Linked DNA regions of Nothobranchius furzeri. The protein of the gene in region 1 purifies or fractionates together with the protein of each later gene. This does not show direct contact. Links are inferred from orthologs where the notes say so. Each region holds a gene or a part of one and is shown in the gene's direction. Other genes may lie near its edges. The genes, in order: rapamycin-insensitive companion of mTOR, tubb5 and mlst8.

Evidence for each region.
Region 2: the proteins of rapamycin-insensitive companion of mTOR (region 1) and tubb5 purify together in Homo sapiens (affinity purification with mass spectrometry; 3 studies listed by BioGRID and IntAct, with this or other methods). This does not show direct contact. The link is inferred for Nothobranchius furzeri from reciprocal best matches to the Homo sapiens genes RICTOR and TUBB.
Region 3: the proteins of rapamycin-insensitive companion of mTOR (region 1) and mlst8 purify together in Homo sapiens (affinity purification with western blotting; 14 studies listed by BioGRID and IntAct, with this or other methods). This does not show direct contact. The link is inferred for Nothobranchius furzeri from reciprocal best matches to the Homo sapiens genes RICTOR and MLST8.

What each region holds. Positions count from the first base shown.
Region 1 is NC_091757.1:36,632,346-36,636,474, forward strand, and holds the start of rapamycin-insensitive companion of mTOR, read left to right. Parts: upstream 1-1,315; 5' UTR 1,316-1,542; coding exon 1,543-1,657; intron 1,658-1,782; coding exon 1,783-1,830; intron 1,831-3,841; coding exon 3,842-3,939; intron 3,940-4,129. Other genes in the region: c17h5orf34 (uncharacterized protein C5orf34 homolog), read left to right, coding at 1-123. UniProt on the Homo sapiens protein: Component of the mechanistic target of rapamycin complex 2 (mTORC2), which transduces signals from growth factors to pathways involved in proliferation, cytoskeletal organization, lipogenesis and anabolic output.
Region 2 is NC_091745.1:74,453,580-74,457,704, forward strand, and holds the start of tubb5 (tubulin beta-5 chain), read left to right. Parts: upstream 1-1,252; 5' UTR 1,253-1,352; coding exon 1,353-1,409; intron 1,410-3,354; coding exon 3,355-3,463; intron 3,464-3,605; coding exon 3,606-3,716; intron 3,717-3,797; coding exon 3,798-4,042; intron 4,043-4,125. UniProt on the Homo sapiens protein: Tubulin is the major constituent of microtubules, a cylinder consisting of laterally associated linear protofilaments composed of alpha- and beta-tubulin heterodimers.
Region 3 is NC_091756.1:30,078,214-30,082,308, forward strand, and holds the end of mlst8 (target of rapamycin complex subunit lst8), read left to right. Parts: coding exon 1-1; intron 2-85; coding exon 86-249; intron 250-2,208; coding exon 2,209-2,327; 3' UTR 2,328-2,953; coding exon of another isoform or gene 2,954-3,048; 3' UTR 3,049-3,593; downstream 3,594-4,095. Other genes in the region: bricd5 (BRICHOS domain-containing protein 5), read right to left, coding at 2,954-3,048.

The sequences.
Region 1 (4,129 bases):
GAAAACTTCTCCGAGACCATCCATGAGCCTCTAAATGAGGACTGCATTGCTGAAGCTCTTCTGAGGACGTCTAAAGCCATTCAGGACATTGATGCTCTAATTGCTGGAGAAACACTGACTTGAGTCACTGAAGAACATGTCGTAAATCTGTAATTACAGATTCTGATCCTCTGTTTAAAGATGTTACGCATGTAATATTTAATTTGACTGTAGTAACTTGTGTCTAGACATCAAATGTACACACATTGTTCTTTGTCTTCTATTCCCGTCAGTGTTGAAAGAAGAACAAAGAAAACTTTATTCCACTGATAAATATGTTTCCAAATGATGTGGGAAAATTTCCATTGTTATGGTTTTTATTATAATCAAATTATAAATTGCAGTTTTGATTTGGTGAGGAATACTACTTTGCACATGTTAGAAATACGACCAATTTAAAGGGCAAAAATATCCTTCACATCGTTAACTTGCAGACTTAACTGCCATGTTTCTGTGAAGAGACCTTCAGCAGGTTAACACTGCATGTTGACTGTTACTATGCAGTTTAGTCATTTTAAGTCAAGTAAAAAAAACAGCCATTTTGCTTTTTGTAAACATACTGTAGCCTAGGTGTAATGCAGCAAAAGTTGTGGCAACTGCTAGAAACCTTCAAGTTTAACCAAAATAAATGTGTTCATCCTAACAATTTATAGCATCAAGAAAGCAAAATGGGAACATTACTAGGCTAGTTTGCAATACTTCATTGCCAGATAGCTAAATATATCTTTGTTGCATTAAAGTAGGTTGTATTTGTGAAATAAATTGGGAATGTTTTGGCTTTCATGGGCAAAATATCCAGTGGTTTCCAAAGCTAGGGTTGGGATCCTGCTGTGGGTCACCAAGAACCACATGGGGGGTCTTGAGACAATTTCCAAGATTGCTGAAGCTATATTATTTATAATAACTGTTACAAACCTTAACTACATTGTCATAAATGTATATTACTGTACATGAACTGAAGCAGTTTTCTTATGCCCTAAATTATTAAGCTTTTATGCATGGTTTAAAATCAGATATTTGTGGGTCACATGTCTTGACAATTGCTACTTTGAGGGTCTGAAGCTGAAAGATTGGGAACCATTTGCTTAGAAAACAGTTTGGATTGTTCATAAATATTAGATCACACTACTTAAGTCAACCCTTACTAGTTTAATCAATTAATCAAAGAGAAGCAGTCAATTGTCAAAGAAAATGTGTAAATATATAATACTAATCCACAATAATAAAGTGTCATGGTCTTAATCTGGCATGATTGAAATGGTCATAAACTCTACAACAACTTTACTTTCATGTGTTTTTGGATGAAAAGAGGTTAGTGGTGAAATTTGATTATTGTGATTAACCCCGTCCCCAGATCAGATTGCTGTTTTTATATCCACAAACAACAGAGGGACTTTGAGCAGAGGGGTCTAGTCTCAGGTCTGCTGGGTCTGTCCATCGACATTAATACCGTATATAGTTTATACTGGGTCTGTCGTAGCCAGTTTGCAGACGACGTCTTTGATGCGTGTATTGTCGCGAGATTCCGCGAAGTTTCCGGTGTTGTGTGTACTGTATGTTCCTGGAGACATGGCGGCCAGCTTCCGCGGCCGTCCTATACGGAGTCTTCGGATGCGAGGTAAGCTTGAAAAAACTCTGTTCAATGACAGGTGTAACAGCGGGAATCTGCAAAATAGAAGACCCCATACACGCGATGAGCTTGGAGTGATGTGTTTTTGTGTACACTGTGTGTGTTTTTGTCAGGTCGGAATGACAGCGGGGAGGAGAACGTACCGCTGGATCTAAGCAGAGGTAATCAGCGATTATTCTTCAAAATGGATCATCATGGCACTTTGCTGTAAACACTGCCCCATTAAACGAAACTCAAACCATGACGTGCATATGTATTTTTATTTGCAATTCTTACTTAGTCAGTTTTCCTTTCTGTTTCGTGTAAAAACATTGCTAACTAGTCATAACAACGGGCGGTAGCGAGCTAACAAACGAGCTGGATTAGCTGCCACAGCTAACCAGCCATGACGACGCGCTGTTGTTTTGATCGGTGCTAGTAGGATACAGAGCCTGTTATTCAGCCAGACAGCTCATGCATCGGTCATCACTGACTGCACGAGGAACTGGGTGTACTGGCTGTTTGCTAAGTAGCACATATGGCTGCACAGGCTGGTTCTTGAGCTACAGCCTCTCAGCCGGGTCAGAAACACTGCTCCAGCAACAACACCGGTTTGTTTACACGGAACACTCGTGAACAGCATCATCCATCAGGATTTTGTTGTATCTGCTGACATAAGGAGCTGGAGGCGTTTAACATATGAGATATCAGTGACGATAGTTTTCCTCTGCAGGTTTTAAACATATATATCTTGAGGGCCAAAATACAAAGAGGCCATGTTTCATATCAAGTTTCCGTGTAAAGAACTTCTACTTATGGCTAATTTGCAGTCAATGTTCTTGCTTAGTATTTTGAGAAAGTTACAGTTTATACAAAAACAGCAAATCTTCCTAAAAAACTTAAAGCAATGATACAAAATGAGCAGGAGACTAGAAGAATGCACAGATAAATGAGATTTCATGATACCTGAGAGTGCTAACTGACATGAAAGCTCAATTATGAGTTACTTTTTTAATTGTAGTTTGCAAACTGTTTCTTTGTGAGGATCTTTCAACAAACACAACAAACTACAGTCTACTGTTATTTTTGTAGCTGTTTCTAGGCTTTTACAGTAATTTCACTATCTCTTGAACTAAGTTATTAATAGGTAAAGGAAAGTGATTAAAGTAAACAAAAATATCAAATCTCAATAGATTATACTTTTTGTTTTGTACTTGTATTCAGCGCTTGACATCATAGATTTTAAGATTGATTGGGTTGCTTGACTCCAAACTGTTAAACAATAGAATGTTCAACAGAATCAAAGCATGCGTAAATAACACTTGTCATGGGTTAAAATGATCTTTAAAAGACACAAAGCAATTGCGATTAGCTTTGATTAATCTGGATGGTTGGCACTTATCCTGCCCTGAAATTGAAATAAAAAAAAAACCACCATGCAATGCTTCTAAAATGATTTGCATGTACACTTTTCTACTAATGCATTGTTACAAATAGGGAAACCAAACTAAGTCTGTGCTCTAAATGAAGGATTATTATCTGAAGTTATTGTCATTGCTCTTTTTTTCAAATCCACCTCTAATATAAGATACTTAAATATATATTTGAATGGGCATCAAATCAAACTGATGAGTCTGTATAACATATTTTCTTTCTTGATATTTGGTTGTACATGTTTGCTGTTTTTTAAAGTTCAATGAAAAGTAAACAACATGAAATTCATAGATTTATTGTGCATGTTTGTTTTAATTCATAAAATAAATCAACCGTTTGCAAAGTCCTGAAACCTGCTAAGCTATTGTGGAGTTGTTCTAGTGGACTTGGTGTATGTGAATAAATCTGTAAAGTGGTTATCCTGATGTATTTTTAGTGTCTGGAGCTGCTGGAACTTTTCCTGGGTTTCACAATATTTCAATGTCAAGTTATTAATCCTTCTTGCCAATAGAGTTCTCTGTTTTACAGCCACATTCCTTATGTCAATAACATTGTGGTCAGCACATATAAATTGGAAGGACGTGCAAACCAAATGCTGACCTGCTCACATCTTGCTCTTTTAATTGCGTCTTGTTTTGACTGTACACGCTAAATGAGCTGGACCGTCTTCCTTCCTGCAGTGAATCAATTACTGATACTATACCAGTATGGCTTCACACTTTGTTACGTTGCATTGTTTTCTTCTTCTTTCCCTTGCAGAACCATCTGAAAACTTCCGTGAAATTCTCCAAAATGTGGCCAAACCTCATGGAGTCAGTAACATGCGAAAACTGGGCCACCTGAACAACTTCATTAAGGTACTACTGCAGATCTGATGGTCCAAATCCACAGTTTGTGTAATCTGTCTAAACAGTGTTGAAATGTAGTTTTCAACCATTCTCTAGCCACAGGAACTTTGTGATGCTAAATGACATCTGTATGTTTCTGAAAGTTATACCAGGGTGTAGATATTATGACCACAAAGATGGTGTACCGAAGTTTGCTTGT
Region 2 (4,125 bases), on another chromosome or scaffold:
AACAGAAATAAAAAAAATCAAATCAATCCTAAAACAACAAGTCACGGTGGATGGAAAACTATAACTATAATTTGATGTTGATGATAATGTTTAATTGTAATTAATTCTGTCAAATAATGTTGAAGCTCTATATTTACCGGTCGATCTAATTCTCACTTATGGTCACAAGCTTTGGAGACCGAAAGAATGAGATTGCGGTTACAAGCGGCCAAAATGAGTTTTCTCTGCAGGGTGGCTGGGCTCTTCCTTAGAGATAGGGTGAGAAGCTCAAGCTCGGTCATCTGGGAGGGGCTTGAAGTAGACCTGCTGCTCCTTCACATTGAAAAGAGCCAGTTGAAGTAGCTCATGCATCTGGTTAGGATGCTTCCTGGATGTTTTCCTGGTGAGGTTTTTCCGGGCATGTCCAAACAGGAGGAGAACCGAAGAAAGACCCAGGACATGCTGGTGGGAATATGTCTCTCACCTTGGGATTCCCTTGGAAGAGCTGGCCCAAGTGACTAGGGAGAGGGAAGTCTGGGCCTCCCTGCTTAGGCTGCTGCCCCCAATGGAAAATGGATGGATGGATGAATAATGCTGATAGTTGTGTTTTTGTGAATGATTGTGAAGCAGAAAATCCATTCATTGATTTTTTTTGTATCTCCCTTTTTCTGTAAGGGTCATGAGGAGCTGTTACAACTGAGCAGGCAAGGGGAATGGGACACTGTAGACAGGTCACAAGTCCATCACAGACATGCAAGTGGAGACAAACAAGACAAGCAACCAATCACACACACACACACACACACACACACACACACACACGTAGGAAAAAGAGTTGCCCATCAAATCAAACTTATACATTTTTGTTCTGTGGGGCCCATCTGTGCCACCTATACACACAATCAGCCAATCAGATCTAGTCATACTGTTTTATTGGTCTAACCAACGTTTTCAGTATATTATCAAAATAAAGAAAAGACAGAGTTTAAAGGAGCTAACTGTCATTCTGCCCCAACTGCACACTGGAATTGCTGCCATCTGTTTTCTCACACAGTCGCAGCGATGATCAGCCCCGGCTGACACTAAAACAGCTGTAATGCATATTTCTGGACACCAGCTGGTAAAATTCTGGTCAATCTCCTTTTCCAATTCCCACTCCCTGATCTGCAGCCGACACGTTCCTCCTCCCCCTGCCGGTCCTCTCGGCCAATCGGCGCGTGCAGAAGCGTGTTGTGGGCGTGGCCGCGCCCCTCTCTGGAGACGCTCCAGCCTTATAAATCCATTGTCCCCCCGGTCTCTTGTCACAAGTCGGCTCGTGCTCGTCCACTTTAATCACATCGCACCTTTTTTCCCGTGAAACCTTCGCACCCATCATGAGGGAGATCGTGCACATCCAGGCCGGCCAGTGTGGTAACCAGATCGGTGCCAAGGTAAGCTCAGAAAATCTGTATAAAATGTTTCTGTGGAATAAAACAGGAGTTACTTTTGCGTTACTTTGTCTAAAGCATTCACAATTACTGTTATATGGATTTATTAACTGATGAAGATAAAGAAATTTACATAAATATGTAATGAAATAAAAAAGTAGTAATGGTCCAGTCTTTGTGAGCACTGCAGTGCACACAACACCGGGTGTGTCTGCGTCCCAGCTCCTAGGATTCAGCCCATCTCAACGCACTGATTTAGGGAAAAAGACAAAGGAAAGAGGGGAAAATGACTCTTTTCTTCTCATGTCAGACCCCCACAGCCTGTGGAGCCTTCACTCTGCTTGCTTTGTCTGGCCCAGGCTGATATGACTGGTGTTTCAGACAATGAGTGGAAGTCTGGATTAAAGGCCTAGTTACCCCCCACCCCCAGATGTCTATGAATCAATAGCACATATTGATTAGATTTGAGTTCTGCAGGCTGCAAAGGCAGACTGCAGGGTGAGCTATTCTATTGGGACGTGATGGAAGGGTGTGGCATGAATAATTGTGAGAAGACAAGTCATTCTCTCCTTTTTTCTGCAAAAAAACACCCTTATGTGTTATTTACTATAATATTCTATTCATCTGATATAATTTGTCATTGCATCATTTAATAGTAAAGTCTAAAATGTTCATCAATGACATCACCCGCCCAGTCTGTCTCTTAGCAGCCGCAGTCTGCAACAATAGGTCTGGGTGGCCCATTATTTCTGCTGTCTTATTGTCTTATTTTTGTTTTACAACTGATCATTTGTAAACGCATGCACACGCTCAAATCCATGCCCTGGAATTAAGAACCCATGAACATTAGCCCGGATTAATGAAGGGTGATCTTTCTGGCTGAGATGTCCTGGAAAGCAGAATCTTTCCTCCCCTAACCAAATTAAGAGAAGGGTGGGGGAGGAATGGAGGAAACAGCTGATGCACAGCGGACGCAAAGTCTCCATTTCCAGTGGCCTTAATGGGCAATAGTTGTCTTCCCAAAGGCACACAACAGATGGCCTTTATATTTTATTAGACATATTTTTATCAAGCTTGTACTGTTAATCATTTTCCCTTGTTCGGGTCACCGCTTTGGCCTGTATGATCGGCTAAAACTACTAGGAGTGGTCTATCAGAGAGCCAACTCGTTTGTTTCCGTCCCCTGGGGGCTCATCGACTCCGATGTGCAGGATTTATGACGGCCAGAGATGCTGAGCGGCTGCACGGTGGTCAAATGGGTCAGGGTGTGGCCTTGCTTTTCCTGCTCGTTGTCCTCATTCTTTCACTGTGATCTTCATCATCACTGATGGGCCGTCCATCAGTTTCTGTCTTCTCACTTCTGCGTCTCTAGCATCGCTCACCCTCGTCTCGTGACATTTAAATGTCAAGATTTGTACTCCACAGCCGTTTGTCTGCAGTGCAGCCGGCGTTAACGGGAGGCTGTAAAGTCTCATTTTGCAGCTGAATACCATAAATCTAAGTGAATGTGTAAAAAAGCAGGAAATGCAGACATGCAGAGGATTTCCTACAGTATCTTAGTGGATTTAATGCGTACCCAGCCTCCCAGAGCTCCGTGGGCTTTTAAAGCCGGAGCAGGACTTGAATACAAATTTAAAGGCCCTCATTGTCCTCGGTGTTGTGTGAGACGCCTTTTTCATTTTCAGTTTGGCCTTCGGAGTGATCAGTGGCTCCTTTGTGCTCCTCCTCCTTCACGTTTTACATATGAAAGCGTTGCATAGCTTTCTGCAGAGTCATGAGCTGGCAGCTTTGGAAATATTTGCAGCTGCTCTGCAGGAAACTGCTTGAATCCTAGCGTATCCTCCAGAATATAAATATGCAAACCCATTGCTGTTATCCTCATTTAAAGTCCCAAAAGGCCTGTAGCTTAGAAGTGAAATGAGTCCCGTCATGTGATTCCTGTCTGCAGTTCTGGGAAGTGATCAGCGACGAGCACGGCATCGATCCCACTGGGACGTACCACGGAGACAGCGACTTGCAGCTGGACAGGATCAGCGTCTACTACAACGAGGCCACAGGTAGACCGTCGTCCTGAAAGGCTTTTCATGACATAAGATGTGCTGTTCCATAATATTTTTGTCCATTGCATTGCTAAGCTGCGATGTAAATGTTACGGTTTCCTCTTTTCCCTTCTGCTCTCCCGTTCACTTTCCTGTGGAGGAGGTAAATATGTTCCCAGGGCCATTCTTGTGGATTTGGAGCCCGGGACCATGGACTCTGTGAGGTCTGGACCTTTTGGGCAAATCTTCAGACCTGACAATTTCGTCTTTGGTGAGTGTCTTCCAGAGAAATCCTTTTACAATATCTGTGATCTGTATGAACTTAGAAAACAAAGTCTCACTTCTTCCACAGGCCAGAGTGGTGCTGGAAACAACTGGGCCAAGGGTCACTACACAGAGGGGGCCGAGTTGGTGGACTCGGTCCTGGATGTGGTCCGTAAAGAGTCCGAGAGCTGTGACTGCCTGCAGGGCTTCCAGCTCACCCACTCTCTTGGAGGTGGGACTGGATCTGGAATGGGAACCCTCCTCATCAGCAAGATTCGTGAGGAGTACCCAGACCGAATCATGAATACCTTTAGCGTGGTGCCTTCCCCCAAGGTGACCCGTCCTTGTGATAGTGCCTGAAAAGTTCTGTTTTTAATTAGAGTTTGTTTAGCCGTAGGGTCTTCTGCTAACATCAC
Region 3 (4,095 bases), on another chromosome or scaffold:
CGTGAGCGGTTTCTCCCCAAACCACGACACATTCAGAAACCCTTTTCTGCGTGAGCTGCAGCTGCATTTTTGTGTTCACCTCTAGACTGCTGGCCACCTGCTCAGCAGATCAGACCTGTAAGATCTGGAGAACGTCCAATTTCTCTCTGATGACAGAGCTGAGCATCAAGAGCAACAATCCAGGAGAGACGTCCCGGGGTTGGATGTGGGACTGTGCGTTCTCTGGAGACTCCCAGTACATCGTTACAGGTCTGTTTGCCGTAGAGGACGGGGTGTAAACGACATTCTGGGTTCATTTGGAAACAAACACGGTTTATTGTTCATTATAATCATGGGAACGTTACTTTTATAAAGTAAATTGTTACAGTTACTAATTACTTTGTTAAAAAAAGCAACTCAGTTACTGAGGTACAAGATTATAAAAGTAACTAATTACCAAGAAAAATAACTACTGGTATTTTCCTACTTTATTTTTTAAATAAAAGAATGTAAGAAAAATGGGATTCCCTTCTTAATAAAAATAGCCTAATTTACTGTAAATTACTACAGTACTAAAATATAAATGACTAATAAGATTTGAACATAATAAAATGTATGTTCAAATGTTTATTATGAAACTGAAAAGTTGAAATAAACAGGAGGAACTACAAACGGGAATCATTACACTAATCTAAACTATTCAAATGTGTGGAACAAGACCCCAATCAACAACATTTATAATTGCAAATAGAAAACACCTGCAAAGGGTTCCTGAACCTTTAAATGGTCTCTCAGTCTAGTTAAATTACTGAAATAAATGTAATTTGCACAGTATTCTAATTTTTCCAGTTTTACATAATTGTGTGTTTTTAGTAGCATTTCTGTTGCTGCTAATCTAGTAATGGTTAAATAAATTTATCAATAAAATCCTCAAGAGTGACACTAGAAAAGGCGCAAATCTGATGGAGGTCTTAAAGAGCAAGTCGCCCCCTAATCTACTCTTTTGCTGATAAATTATATAAATGAGTGTCCAATCGTGCTGTAGACACATGCAGTCAATAATTTGGCACTTTAGTGCGACTTAGTTAACATTTAAATATTCTGCCTGAAACTCAATGTTCCCTGCACTGCATTTGAATTTAAATCTGCCATCGTTATTGGCTAAGATGTACACTATGATGTCAGCTGGTACATTGTGATGTCACAGTGCAGTTGCGAACCTGTTTGTATTTGTTAGCGGCTCCGCCAGGCAACAGCATTCGTTGTGTTTTTCAAACAGGAAGTGGGAGTGGAGTAAGAGTCTGGCCGGGGGTGACTTGCTCTTTAGCTTTACTAACTTGGGTCAGACCCAAACACAGAAGAAGCTGGGTGGCAAAGACACACACTTAGTTCTAGTTGCACCTGAGCACCCATGACGTCTGAGACTGACACAGTCAGTGGTACAGCGGAACAAAAGAAATAATCAGGAACCGGATCCAGTTGGATCATCTAGATAGAAGAATGGTACAGCTGCAGACCGCAGCGCAGGTTCACGCCTGCAGCAGCGAATCTGCGGGTCACCAGTTCTGTAGCCATAGACCATTCATCACGTCTTCTTCGTTCATCACGGGCTGTGAGGCGCTGATCTTCCAATCAGCTGATGACAGCTTCAACACACCGCTCTGCTGAATCATAGCAACGCACACATTTTCTTATCAGTAATGGACACGGCGTTATGAAAAATGACAGTAATTAAGTAGATTTGTCACTACTGCAAAAACTAACATCTGTTAGTAACCCCGTTGTTTTAAACGTTCCCATCACAGATTATAATACGTAACCATTAAAGGTGTGGTTCACTGAAAACTCATTTTTAAAATCTTATTTCTGATCATAATCAGTCACTCTTGAGTGTATCATGCAGGCTGAACATGAAACAGTGTCCTAGGATTTCCTTCCTGCTAGAGACCACTTTAGATGTATTAAACAAGTGAACCAAACCTTTAATAAAATCTTATTCCTCTCTGTGCTTAAGCTTTGTTAGTGATGGTAGATGAAGGTTTTTGTCCGCTTGTGCCGGTGAAGGGTTCATTTCTGAAAGCAGTGCCCTCTGCTGGTCAGTAAGTTTATGAACAAAATGACGTGAGAAAACAAACAGCTTCAATACTTTTTAAATAAATATGTGTTCATGTTAGAAAGTGGGCTGAACACATTAAAGCAGACTTTGATTCCTGTTTGTTTTTCCCACAGCGTCTTCAGACAACCTGGCCCGTCTGTGGTGTGTGGAGACGGGCGAGATCAAGAGGGAGTACAGCGGCCACCAAAAGGCCGTGGTGTGTCTGGCTTTTAACGACAGCGTGCTCGGTTGAGAAAGACAGGAAGTGACAAAAACGTTCAGAGAAGGACTGTGAGGACGGGACGTTCCTCTGCTTTGACAGGAGCCACAGATGTGGTTGTTTGGGACACGGTTAACAAAACCTCCCAGAATAATCAAGGTTTTGGTGCCACACGCTAGCAAACAATCAGCAAAGCAACACAACACGTTCAAATTCACAAACTCAAGAGCCAAATGCATATTTTAGCTGGAAACTTTACAGAAATGGCTCCGTTAAGAAACTCATCTTGTGTTTTTACAGATTTGTATATTTATCCATCTTCTCCGTGTAGAAAACACTTCACATTTATGTACCGCTAAGCTGGTAATAAAAGGATTAAAGAAGTATCCTTACAGTAAGCCTTTTATTAGATAAAAACATGACTACGACAGTACAGTTACACATAATTATGCTCCTCGTGTCTAAAAAAGGGGATTGCTGTTCTGTGGTCTCTGAAACGTGCCACCAGAGAGGTTTTCACACATGAAAAGAGCAACAAGGAGGATTTAGAAACACACATTTGTGTTTTCTTTTCTTCAGACAGAAGCAGGAGGGGTCAGGCTCAAGGGGAACACTCGGATGAAGCAGAAACAGCTGATCTTCGTGCTGTAAGGACACAGTCACTCAGGCAGATAGTAGAAGCACACGGATACACAGATGTTGCTGGGGAAGCAGATGTCGATGCAGAAGTAGACCAGCCTCTGTTTGCCTGGACCTGAGATAAGACACACACACACACCCCCAGGAAGAACCAGAATCAACTCAGGTTTTCTGACATTATTTATTACGTTTCCACATCGGATCCTAAGTGGTTTATAACCAGCCTGTGTGATATTTACCCCGCGTGTCCTGAAAGGTTAGAATATTTAACCCCAACATGCAGCTTGATGTGAGGAGAGGCCACATAGATTAGGCTCTGGTTTGTTACAGACCAGACTCCTGAGATGAGGTTGTGAGTAAAGTGTGAGCACGTGCCCCCTCAGACCATCCATCTCCTTACACTAGATGTTCTGGGTTCCATTACTTCCCTGTAGAATGGAGCAGACCGAGTTGCTTTTTGAGGTTTTTTTTTGTGTCTAATTTGTGTCACACTATTGAAGTAAATCGGAATCTTACAGTTGTCCAAATAACGTGATTAATTCTCTTTTAGTTGATGATGTGTAACAAGGGGGGTTACTTTTATCACCAAGGGTCAGATTGGTGTTTTATTTCTCTGAAATTAATATTGAGTTGAATAAAACTTCTTTCTCTGAGGGAAAACTCAGGTGTGTATCCTTTAACAAATTCCCATCTCACCCTCTGTGGGTGGTCTCATCCTTCCAAGCTCGGGTCCTCTACTAGAGGCCTGGGAGCTTAAAGTTCTGTGCAGTATCTCAGCTGTTCCTAGATCTGCTCTTTTCTGGACTGAGATGTCTGATGTTTTTCCTGGGATCTGCTTTAGCTACTCCTCCAGTTTCGGGGTTACTGCCCCGATGACCACAAGTACCAGCGATGTCTTCCCTCTCCAGGCTTTCTCAAGTTCTTCTTTGAGGCCCTGGTACTAATCTAGTTTCTTATGTTCCATTTTCCTGATGTTGCATCACTTGGTATTGCCACATCAACCACAACGGCTGTCCTCTGTTGTTTGTCCACCACCACAATGTCCAGTTGGTTCACCATCACCATTTTGTCAGTCTGGATCTGGAAGTCCCACAGGAGCTTGGCTCTCTCGTTCTCAACCACCTTAGGGGTGTTACCCTCTTTGACCTTGGGGCTTCCAGTA